Linked DNA regions of Bombyx mori. The protein of the gene in region 1 binds, or shares a complex with, the protein of each later gene. Links are inferred from orthologs where the notes say so. Each region holds a gene or a part of one and is shown on either strand. Other genes may lie near its edges. The genes, in order: paired amphipathic helix protein Sin3a and sin3 histone deacetylase corepressor complex component SDS3.

What was found.
Region 2: the proteins of paired amphipathic helix protein Sin3a (region 1) and sin3 histone deacetylase corepressor complex component SDS3 are in contact, whole or in part, in an NMR structure (PDB 2N2H), measured with the Mus musculus proteins. The link is inferred for Bombyx mori from reciprocal best matches to the Homo sapiens genes SIN3A and SUDS3. Residues at the interface, in NP_001103821.1 of Mus musculus: Glu616, Glu619, Leu620, Val623, Arg672, Ile673, Tyr674, Ala675, Lys677, Asp680, Ile681, Ile691, Ala692, Ile695, Val696, Arg699, Met702, Lys703, Glu706, Trp707, Glu709, Ala710, Phe714; in NP_848737.3 of Mus musculus: Ala205, Leu207, Asn208, Tyr209, Leu210, Leu211, Gln215, Ile216, Glu218, Asp219, Leu220, Thr222, Leu223, Leu226.

Annotation. Positions count from the first base shown.
Region 1 is NC_085108.1:1,028,996-1,035,102, reverse strand, and holds part of paired amphipathic helix protein Sin3a, read right to left. Parts: intron 4,900-6,107; coding exon 4,800-4,899; intron 3,181-4,799; coding exon 3,059-3,180; intron 2,340-3,058; coding exon 2,174-2,339; intron 1,417-2,173; coding exon 1,235-1,416; intron 587-1,234; coding exon 446-586; intron 1-445. UniProt on the Homo sapiens protein: Acts as a transcriptional repressor. Corepressor for REST. Interacts with MXI1 to repress MYC responsive genes and antagonize MYC oncogenic activities. Also interacts with MXD1-MAX heterodimers to repress transcription by tethering SIN3A to DNA.
Region 2 is NC_085116.1:2,412,425-2,419,217, reverse strand, and holds the start of sin3 histone deacetylase corepressor complex component SDS3, read right to left. Parts: upstream 3,568-6,793; 5' UTR 2,386-3,567; coding exon 2,220-2,385; intron 169-2,219; coding exon 105-168; intron 1-104. Other genes in the region: F-BAR domain only protein 2, read left to right, coding at 4,254-6,793; SH3 domain-binding protein 5 homolog, read left to right, coding at 4,126-4,194.

The DNA.
Region 1 (6,107 bases):
ACTCAGCGAGCTAAGTATGTAAGTAAGTATCTTAAGCTACTATGGTGTACAAAACACGCCATAGCTCGCGTTCTCTAAATGAAACCCTAAAGCATAATAGAACTGATTAAGATCGGCGGATTAGTAAGCTTAAGTGGCAGTGGCTGGCTGTATTAGCCAGAGAACCGACAACAGTTGGGGTAAATGTGTTCCTGAGTAGAAACTGCGTTAAAAAACAGTCATTTCTTCAGTGAGCACTACAGAGTAGAAGAGAGTTGGGAGAGAAGGCTGATGTTTAGGTTAGGTTGCACGGTTACTGTGGTCCCTCAGTCGGCTCCTAGTGTTAGAGCTGAAGGCGTCTAATGAAAGGGTTATTTGATCTAAAGGATCCATAAGCTCGTGATAAATTAGTTAGTTATTATTGAGGGGCACATGTAACAGTCGCCAGGGTTGTCTTGGTACTGACCGCTCGCACGAGGAAGGCGGCGTGGTGCGGGCGCAGCGCGGCGAGGGCGCGGCGCACGTAGGGCCCGGCCGCGGCCCGCATGTCGCGCGCGCACAGCTCGGCCGCGCGCACCGACCACGGCTCCGACGCGCAGTGCTGCAGCTGTACACGACAATACAAGCTATACTACACACATTCTGCACGTAGTCTTAACCCACCGAGTATAGTATTAGTATAAGTTCTAAGGTCTCAAGTATAGTTACGACGGCTGCCCCACCCTTCAAACCGAAACGCATTACTGCTTCACGGCAGAAATAGGCAGGGCGGTGGTACCTACCCGCGCAGACTCACAAGAGGTCCTACCACCAGTATATGTATAATTTTACAAAATGACCGGTGATCGTTCTCGTCGAAGGGCTCGACGAATAAATTAACCCACAGACACAGCCCACTGAGTTTCTCGCCGGATCTTCTCAGTGGGTCGCGTTTCCGATCCGGTGGTAGATTCTACGAAGCACGGCTCTTGCTAAGGTTCATGTTAGCAACGTCATCAAGTTTGAGCATAAACATATTCTTTACTCATCATAAAGGTGGTAAGTTTGTTAATCTTGACAACAATAAGAAACATCAGTAGGAAGGCAGCATGCTGTATCAACACAGAATATTCTGTTTAAGGCACATCGCATGTGTTTTCATCATTTATCTCTTATCGTTACCAAATGATCCAATACTAAGAGTAATTCAAACAAGATGTTTGATGTGCTGATGAGTATTTCCTCAGGTCTGATATAGCAATACATAGATACTAACCTGCCTGACAGCGATAGACACCAGTTTGTCCAGCGTGTAGGCCGGATAGGCTTTGATCCCGAGCATTTCTCGGGCTGCATCCTCGAAGGCGGAAGATTCCATGTTGCCGTCGAGGACGCCCTTCACCAGGTCCAGCAACAAGTTGTAGTATTCTGTTGGCGACGACACGTCCGCTGGCAAATCTGTGGAAGACATTCATAATTTTCAAATATTTTTTTTTTCAATTTATTCAATAATTGTATTGCTAATGGTGTGTAGTGTATTGAGATTTCGATCTGATGCGTTAATGGTCGACGAAATTCTGGCTCATCTCTAATTATGACGTGACAGAGTAATACAATGTAAAAGCATAATGTTTTTCGAATATGTGGTTCTGGCAAATAGTAGCACTTCACGTAAAATTTACATTGGCGCACTTAATACCTGTGGTATTCTCTACCAGTCACCCAAAGATAGTGCAGAGTGCACAATAAATAAAGGTAGGTGCATTGAAATTTACATTTATATATTATACACATATACATTATATTATATTTAAGTTATCCATTTTTGAAAAGTTTTAATAATCGTAAATTAAATGCAATGGTAATTGCAGTCATGCTTGAAGGTAGACGGCGCTATACGTATTGTCTATGGCATTCTGTTATTGTTAAATAGCAGACAACTAGAGAACTTGTCTGTGCCTTTAGAAATTCTTCTCAGTCTTACACTCCTGGCAGAGTGGTCGTGGTTACGTATGTCTTAATGTTTGGTTGCGGCTTTTGAGAGACTTCTCCATCTTTCTCTATTTGTGGCGGTACGTGTACACTCAGTAAGGGAACACTTCGTAGATAACTTAACCAAGTCTGTCCACCTTGTGGATGATCCTTTAGAAATAAATAATTCAAATTAATATAAAGCCTATAACATTCAGCAGTCAACGTGTGTGAGTGTACTAACGGTGTGCGGGCGCGAGGCGCAGGGCGAGCGCGGGAGGGCGGTCGTGCCGCGGGCGGGCGGGCGGCGCGGCGCACATGGCCCGGCGCGCGGCCGCCAGCCGCTGGCACAGCGCGCCGTGCACGCGCAGGAACAGGTACCACGAGGACGTGCACACGAACCTGCCCTCCTGTATACAACACGCATACATTTACAAAATTAATAAGTCGTGTGTCTTTGTCGGTGAATAAACTGTTAAAATGTTGGCACTGATGTTCTTCTTGAGAGTCCGCGCGGGTAGGTACCACCCCCCTGCCTATTTCTGCCGTGAAGCAGTAATGCGTTTCGGTTTGAAGGGTGGTGACTATACTGAGACCTTAGAACTTATATCTCAGGGTGGGTGACGCATTTACTTTGTAAATGTCTATGGGCTCCAGTAACCATTTAACACCAGGTGAGCTGTGAGCTCGTCCACCCATTTAAGCAATAAAAATAAAAATAAAACATGTGCAGAAGCACCCGTTAGGTCGCCATGCTCCTAAAGACCGCTCCAGGCAATGCGCTTCCAGGTCTGGCGATTCGAAGCGTTTCCAATACATTCGATGATTGATATACATGCTGATATTACAGGTTGAGATATACCCACATATGCATTGTTATATAGAACAATATATTGTTCACTTGTGTTGTTTGCACGTTCATACCTTACAATACATTTTACGCATATCTCGAATTACAGCAAGGTCATTGATCTGTTTCTAGTGAAGTACCCCATATCAGTGTACAATACATACATTGTATTTACTATTTAATTTTAATGGTTCTGGTAGGCAGAGACTTGGCATTGCTCGTCAGATGGATAGGATCCTACCCCTGCTTCTAAATTCTAAAAAAAAAACGAGAACTCACATTAGGGGGGTGATCCCTGAGATCATCTTCTACTTCGAATGGTTCAGTCTTTAAGTCAGATTTCAGTATTTGATCATCATTGCTTAACCTCTTTCCATTAGTCGGCTGGGTTAGTACACTTTCTGTAAACAAAACACATTCAGAGATTAGCCACAATAAAAAGACAACCATTTATCTTCTTATAGCTTTTTCATATCCATTAATGCTGCTATGTTGAAATTAGAAACAACCAATCCGATATAATGTTTTTTTTCATACATGACATTACATTATGACTGTCGGTATTTGAACCGTTGTACCATGGTTCACTTGCGGACCAAATAATAGTAATAATAATAATGGTTGGTTCGAAGTAAGTATCAGTTGAATGGAATATTTGAAATGTATTCAACGGATAATTACTTTTAATAAATGTATCTTTTTTATTTGATTGGTTTTGTTAATTTTGAGTATGTTTCAATGATACAAGGGCGGGATGATAAGTAACTAGCCTAATAATGAAACACTTAACTTTCCATGATAAAATTAATTTTATTTTTCGACATAGTCTCCGTGAACCTCTACGCACTTATTCCATCTTCGTTCTAAAGCAGTAATGCCTACCATAAAATAATTTCTTTCGAGGCCTGTAAAATACTCCTCTACAGCGGCTATGACTTCATCATTTGTGGCAAATTTCTGTCCGCCCAAATTTTTTGCCATAGCTTTAACACATGTGTGACCCTAGGGTGGAAAATGTTTTTTTTTCCGCCAAATCTGGCCGTTTTTACTGAATACATTGATGAAGATTATCTAGAAGATTAGTGTAGTATTCTCTGTTAATTGTTTGACCTTTAGGAAGGTAATCTATCATCAAGATCCCAACTGCATCCCAAAAGACGGAAGCCATGACTTATCCAGCCGACTTTACAGCCATGGCCTTTTTTGGAGCCGACCATTCCGATTGCGTCCACTGTTTTGATTGAATTTTTGATTCTGGCGTGTAATAATGAACCCATGTTTCATCTGCTATTACAAATCGACGTAAAAAATCGGCTTTATTACTCTGAAACGGTCCAAACATTCTTTTGAGTTTTGCACTCGAATCCTACTTTGATCGTGCGTAAGCAATCGCGGCAACCAATGGGCCGATGACTTTTTCATATTTAATTCCTCACTTAGGAAATGATGTACCCGGTCTTTTGAGATACCTGTAGTGTCAGCTATTTCAGATAACTTCAATCGTCGATCTGTTAAAACCATATCATGTACTTTCACGACCGTTTCCGGTGTCGTGACGCTTTTTGGACGTGCGGGGTGGGCTTCATCTTGGACACATGTACGACCGCGTTTAAACTAATCCACCCAGTTTTTTACTGTGGCATAAGAAGGAGCACATTTACCCAAAACATTCTTTAACTCGTCATAGATATCTTTCCCCTTCATGCTCTACATATGAAGAAACTTTATCACCGATCTTTGTTCAAATTTATCCATTTTGAAAACACTTGACGAAATATATTTTCAAATGACAAAAAATCAATAAAATGTTTACGCCACCAAATTGAAATTTAGAACACAGGTGGCCAGAGACGAATTTACAAATGACATATTTAATTTTTGAATTTTAACTTTTTGAATAGCAGAGGCTAGTTACTTATCATCCCGCCCTCGTACTATGTACACATATGGACTTATTGTTGTCTGAAATAAAATAATCATTCATTCATTCATTTATTACCATGTAATATGTAAAACTCACCTTTATTGCTCTCCAAATTATTATTATTTTTGGGTTTATTCTCTTTGTTATTCTTTCCGTTCTTGCCGCTCTTGTCTGACGCGTTATCAGATTCAGATGACTGAAAACAATAAATTAATTATATTTCTGTTTGTGCTATATTTTACCAAATATTAGTGTGGTCAAAACATCAGTAGGAAGGCAGCATGCTGTATCAACATTCAATATTCTGTTAAAGGCACATCGCATGTTCTATCATCATTTCATCTATCTAATATATAAAATTCTCGTGTCACAGTTTTCGTTGCCATACTCCTCCGAAACGGCTTGACCGATTTTGATGAAATTTTTTGTGCTTATCCGGTATCAATGAGAATCGGCCAACATCTATTTTTCATCCCCCTAAATGTTAGGGGTAGTCCACCCCTAAATTTTTTAATTTATTTTTTAGACAAAATTTTTAATTTCTATTTTTTTATGATACAACATACAAAAATACATACAATCCTCAATTTTCACCCCTCTACGATCAACCCTTATTTTTTATTTGCTAATAAAAAACTTTAAAAATTTTTGCGAGAATTTTGTTTGTATTTTGTCATGACTTAAAATAAAAAAAAAATATATTACTCTCAATTTTCACTCTTATACGATCAACCCCTATTTTTCCATCCCGATCAATATTTTTTTTATTCTATGCACAGATCCGCAATAAGGTTGCAAGATGGCAATCAAATATTATAATTGTAGTACGATAAACTCTTATTCAGAGTTTATAATTTCAAGTTCCTTTAATTATCATTTTTTTTAAATTGAATTTGATCTCCCGCCCTCGCCGGTCGACTACTGATCAACTATCAATCGATCAGCTATCCCCGCCAGGTGTCACCACTCATCCAGCAAACATCACGTAGTAGGGATGAGGACGAAGCCGGTCTCCTGTCTTACTTACTCACTATACATCATAGATTATACACTTAATATATTTGAGAGCTATACAATACTATACATTTTTCAGCCATGTTTTTTTGGTTTTATTTGTGTATCAATAGTATGTTCAGTAGGTCTGAGAGTCGGCTACTATCTATTTTTCATACCCCTAAGTGAAAAGGGTTGTCGGCCCCAAACATTTATTTTTTATTTTTATATTTTGGATATTTTTTTTTGTTTACAATGAAGTATTATGTGGTTAAATGAGGTTTTTTTTTCTACAGTAGAATTTCCCTAGAAATCTTATTTAAGGCAACACAACGTTTGCCGGGTCAGCTAGTACTAATATATAAATCTAGTGGTTTTTACGGATGTTCCGTTATAACTACTGAACTATGC
Region 2 (6,793 bases), on another chromosome or scaffold:
AAACATACATACTTATGCTTTTAGCCTCATTCTAAATTCATTTACAGAACATCTTACATGATTAAGGAAGCTTATTTCAAAAGAATTATTATTATTTTACATACTGTTCTTTAACTTCCAGAGGTTCATTGTTGTTCGGTAGTTCTGCCTCGCTTGCCTCTTCTGTATCTGAAAAAGTTTACATTGCAACACTTTTTCTATAATGTAATAACATATTTTTATTTAAAATAGCTTCATTATATTTTGAAACCTAGTGTAATAACAAAGAAAAAAGTATTTTCAAGCAATGTATCATATATAATATCAAAATATTCCTAGTTGTGTTTCACAGAAACAACTCAAGAATAGAAGCATAATTTTATTCAGTATGGTTATACTAGAGAAAAAAAAGTATACTTATTCATCTATTATTTCAAATAATTTTGCTTATTAAGGATTAACTTTTTGCATTAGTGTGGCATTGAATTTGTTTTGTTTTTGTGCTAAACTATATCTATTGCATATTAACAAAACAATCAGCTAGGCATATTTGGGTACCGTAAAATGGGGCGATTAGGGACAAATTCCAACTTTATGAGCAATTTTAAGGTAGTTGTTGATGTATATAATGCTATATCAGGATCAAAATGATTGAGTCTTGGGGGCATCTTTGTTGTCTAATTTAAAATTATGCAAGTAGTATTCCAGTTTAAGCAAAAAATGCAAAAATAGGTGTAATCCCTATTTACCCGAAAATTGCGGTTAATTGGGACGAAATGAGAAATTTGCTAGGGTTGGCACTACTTTTATTTTTATATATAGTTTTAATTAATTTATTTATTTAGTTGCATCAACAAAGTGATCATCAATAAAAAAAATTGAAAAACTGACAAAAGTACATGGCAGACATCACCTCAATTATAGGTGCAATCGACAGTGCAGTAACAACAAAATATATATATATTAAATATATATTTATACATATATAGTGGGCTTTCTTAGAAACGGTTTATATTTCTCCGTTCTTGGTAAGTACTTAGGGGCTGATATTTCTATCTGGGTTAAGAGATTAGGTGTGTCGGTTATTCCATGGATTAATCAGATGAATACCCCCACTCTGAACAAATATTAAATATTTTATTATGTATTACTTAGACATTTTTGTCCACCTTGAGATTTCATTGATCTTGTTACATGTCTCTTCAAAATCGACTTAGTTATATTAAATTGCTTATCTATTTCAACTAAAGACTTATTCCCAATTTCGCTTTGATAAACCAGATTTTTACCAACAAATTTAAAAAATATTGTTATAACTACATAGACAACCCTACAAACCTGTACCTATTTATACTTAGCTCGTTTCCATTTCACGTATTCTCATCCCAATTGACCCCTTTTTCGTTGTTATTTGTACCTAAGACGTCCCCAATATCCCCAAAAACAACAAATTTTTACATGTATTTTTATTTAATCAAATACATTAAAACCAATAACAACTGAGACTTACCTTTAATATATATGCTGGTTCAAACACTAAATAACATTTATAAATCATAGTAGTCTTCTATTATTAGCAAATAAATAAAAGAGAGCAAAGTTTCTAGCACTAAAATAATTACCACCACAGGAAGTTAATTTGAAACGCGATTTTTTATAAGTTAGCAGCTATTATCATGCATATTCAGAGTTGTTTTGTGAACTTTCAACATTCTACTGTTAAACTACAAAAAAATGGAAGATTTTTCAACGAATATAAAACTTATATTGAGCGTCGAAAGATTTTCCCAGTTTTTTCCCGATTCGCCTTTCAATCCCTAATCGCCCCATTTTACCGGTACATGTAAAGTTAGTAAAATTGTGTACATTTTTTTTATTTTTTTTTAAATTTGTACCCACGTAGAAGAATCATCGAAAGGTAACCACCAGTTTATAGGATTACTCTTTATGTGTTACTAAGTGAGAAGTTTTTTTTTTAAATATAATAGGTAATTAAATATAATGTTATAATGTATATTAAATGGTGAAAGTATTTAAATTACGTCATCAAGAAGGCTGTCCGAGAAATAGGCGGGAACATTCACTGAGTCGCAAACATGAAAGCAAATAACCTTGTTTTGATTACGTAACCTCTGTTTACATGTCAAATTTGAAAAGATATTGAGGTTATAGTTATTTTTTGTGGAATAATGTACAAATTAAGCGTTATAGATGCTGGTAAATTAACATCGTAAACAAACCTTCGTCGCTGTCTAACACTGGTGCAGGAGGTGGGACGGTTTCTTCTCGGTCTCTGAAGTCGTCTAAATCGTCGTACCCATCGTCTTCAAAATCGTATTCATCCCCCGGGCCGGAATATGGTGATCCTTGGTAAGACATAGTCGAGGCGACGCGTAACAGTTGCATACAGATTGAATGCAATCACCGCTTCACAAATAAATTTATGCGCTCTTGTAACGTCGAGCTAGACACGGGCACCAAATGGCTGAAGCCAGTTGTGTCACTCATATAAAGAATTCGGCATAAAAACTTCTTAAAAGAAACGAAACTGGAACAAGTTCTGATTAAAGCAGAAAGATGTTTTACTTTTACGTCAAAGTGGACTAAAACTAAAAAGTAATTTAACCGACTTATTTGTATAACATTTAGTCATTTCAAAAAGTCAATTTTGTTAGATAGTCATATACAATTGTTACTTAGTGTAAGTGAAAGGTCCGATTTTTTTTTGATCATTCGTGTCTTTGTAATTTAGATTCTTTATATGGGGTTCCATAAACAATTATGCTAAAATTACACAATTTCAACCAAAGACAATGCTCTACTCGATTTGTTCAATGAGAAAGCAAAGGAAATATCGTCTATTTCATAAAAAATTAAATAGAACGAATTGTGAAAATGCAAATTCAACTGCTGATTTATTATCACTCGCTACCAATGACCACCGATTCATCAAATTGCGATAGATAGGCTCAATTATAACCATGTCAACGATTTCTCCAGTGTGGGCTTGGCCAGTCACTTTCAAACAGCTTCTGTGGGACGTTTTTCTTCGTTGTTTCTTGTCGTGATATTTCAATAAGAAGAGCGTTCTGCAATTCTATCTTCTCCCCGCAAAATTTTGGCTGTACATTAAAATGGCTGCCGTGCAGATCACATTGGCTGCAATTTCCTACATCGCTCAATTCGTGGCGGGTTGTAGGAGATAGATTAGGTAAATGGTTTAATTAAATGTCACCCCGATAACTGCTTTGCGGCAAAAATAGATAAAGTGTATTAGTACTTACCAGAGCGGGCTTACAATGCGTCCTAGTATCAATAATCACCCATATTACGTGTGTTAATTATTCGATAAGGAAGCCAGTTCACCCATGGCTACGTGCAGTACGTTTTCCATTGGAAAAATTTGAATCTGCCTACAGGATTTTAACATCCGTACGGATGTTTCAATCGATTAAAATATGCCGGGCGTTTTATCCTTTATATCATGTCTACAAATCATTCTACGCTTATTTTGGTATTTATTTCAAGAAATAAGAAATAAATATGATTTAGTTAAAATGGTTGATATCTGCCAATAAGATAATACTGAGTACATACCTTTGATAATTTTTAATTTTGACAAAATATCTTCATTATTCAATTGGCAATTTATATTTTTTTTATCAAAGGATGTTGTCAAGTTACGTTAAAATGCTTTTCATTAAATTTATTAGATCCTGTAAACTTTTGGAGCCTTGGTATATTGTTCGTGCATTCTTTTACAATATCAGTATTGAAGAGGGAAGCAGCTACTTAACGGACGGTGGCATGACATTTAAAACTTAACCAAGTACCTACCTACCTGGGCAGAAATCGAAAAAAATGTATGAGATTGTCTATTGTTGTGATACGACGTCACGGTGGAGGACGTCATCTTGCACAAGAAAATTATTTTATTATTTATTTTGTTACAAAGCACGTAACATTACCCGACTTACCCGTTATCTTGTGTTTTTTTTTATTTTAAACCATTTCTTAAATTTTGTTGTGAATTTAAATTTCAATAACTAGTTTGTCATGTTGAAAGTGTTTGAAGGTGACGCTTCACGCTATTGTGCGGTGATGTAATTTAAACGATTAGGTGGCTTCGCAGTCATAGGCAGTGCAATGGAGGAATCCTCTTTCACGATCCCAGCCGATGACAACGGCGATACTGAGCTCGACCCTAGGATCCAGGTCAGTGCGTGACAATATAATGTTCTGAGTTGTAACGGTAGCATCTCGCAACTGCAAACATGAGTGTTAACTTTGTAGATTATTTCGCCAACGAGCATAATGGATATGATATATTATATCAAAACATGAAATACGGACTTATAGCAAGTAAAGAGCTCTCCGAATATCTAAGGGAAAGGTCCAATATTGAGGAGACTAATTCAAAATCATTAGCTAAACTAGCAAAACAAGCGAACGGTAACTGCGCACAGGGTACATTCGCGCCCTTCTGGAGCGTTCTCAAATGCTCAGCTGAGAAACTATCTAATTTACATCAGCACATGTTCCAGAAGGTGGGTGAATTGGTCAAAGATGTGGCGAGATATGCTGATGAATTACATAAAAAACATAAGGCTGTCAAAGACTCTGAATCTAGTACTTTAGAAGTAGTATTACTGATACAAAATACTAAACAGGCACTTCAGAAAGCAAAAGATGTCTATACTACAAAATCTGCTGAATTTGAAAAACTCCGAAAGGATAATGCATCTGCTAAAGACCTCGAAAAGGCTGAGGTTAAATTGAAGAAATTACATGAAGACTATTGGCAGCTTGCTGAAAAGTATAATCTTGTAAAACAAGATTTTGAAAAGAAAATGTCTCAAACATGTAAGCACTTTCAAGATGTGGAGGAGGCACACTTAAAACAAATGAAACAGTTTGTTAATGTTTATGCTGATATAATTCAAAACAATCACGATATGATGGGACAGGTGCATCGGGACTTTAAGCACCAGTGTCTAGAGTTGACTGTTGAAAAACTATTAGAACAGTTCTTGATAGAAAAATATACTTCCATAGAAAAAGCAGTTCTCGTTGAGCTGCCCCCAACTTTACCAAAACCCGGTTCAGCTAACAACTCTATATCAGAAGCCGATCAGATATCTACAGTCTCTAATGGCTCTCACAAACCTACGCAGCCAGGAAAAGCTCCCAAAAAAGAGCCATCTTTTGCTACTAAAACATCAAGGAGGACTACTTCACTCCTTAATTTATTCACTCCCAATTTCCAAAGCAAAGATGAACCCACTATCAACATTGAAGGTGCTGCACCATGCTCTGCCCCTTCCAGCCCAAGTGGAACTCCAGCTATTCCGGTAGCTCCAGATAAAGAGGACAACATGGGTCGAACCACCTTGCGGGAGTCCAAATGGTTCTTACGTAGCAAAAGAACTAAGCCAAAACAAAAAAAATCTAAAAAGAAAAAGGATGATAACTCTATGAACTCAACAGCTGACAAGTCTGATTTTGAGGAAAAACAAGAGGAAACACCAATTAAGGAGGATCTGATAAATTCACCTGAAGTAGATGAGGAGGGTTTTTGTATAAGACCAAAAGAAGAGAAAGGCAGTGTATACTCTTCTAGTGATTCTGACTCTGAAGAGGAAAGGGAGCAGAAAATTCATGTTGAGATTAAACCTATAACCAATGGTAGTGCTCCAATGTCTGCTAGTGTAGATGAGCTCAGAGCTACCGTAGAAAATATCTCCTTGTACAAAATTGGCACAACACGTCGGGGTTCTAATGTGAATACAAGCAAAGCAAGCAATGACCTAGTTGGCCTGGACTTCTTCCCGAGCCCAACTGTCAGTAATCCCACATCACCTCAAGCTAATGTGTCTAATCCTTATGCACCTTTACAAGGAAATCAGTCACATGTGTTTGAGAGTCCCACACCCATTTCTAATACTGAAGTTGGTGATTTATTCTCAGAAGTAGGTGAAATGAGTCAATCCAATATTCGAACATCCACCCCAACAATATCTACTATTTCTCTCCCACGTCCACCATCAAGAAGGTCTGATGGAGAATTTCGAACTGCAGGTTCTACAGGCTCCCGTGGTCCTTCCCCACTTACAATCGGCATGGCGGATACTATACCGTTGGCAGTTGCGTTCCATGAAATAATTCATTCATATTTCCGTGGTACAGAAGAATCAAAATGTCAAGTAAAGATGTCTGGAGACATGATGCTTTCTTTCCCCACTGGTATTGTTGGTGTGCTTGCTAACAATCCAAACCCTGCAAAACTTTGTTTTAGACTAAAAAACATACATAGATTAGAAACAGTACTTCCAAATAAACAGTTGGTTACCATCAATCAATCAACATCTACACGTGATACCACTGTTGTAGATTTCAATATGCCTGCTTTGACCTCATTATTGAAGCGACAGTCAGAAAAAAATCCCACCGCACAGTACTTCAATGTAGATATATTAAAATATCAGATAAGACCAAAAACTGGAGCATCCTCATGTCCATTTCAGCTGGTTTCTTATTGGAAATGTGAGAAGGACCACACAGATCTGAAAGTAGATTATAAGTACAATATGCATGCAATGAGTCCTCCATCACCACTTTTGAATGTGTCTGTGTGTGTTCCTGTGAATGGCTCTGTTAAAAATGTAATTGCAATGCCTAAAAACATTTGGAATGAAGAAACTGAACAAGCGTTATGGCGTTTTACCGAGTTGTCGCAACATTCAGAGGACCGTGGCGTAGGATCGCTGCGGGCGCGCTTCGAGCTGAACAAGGGACCCTCTAGCAAGGCCACTCT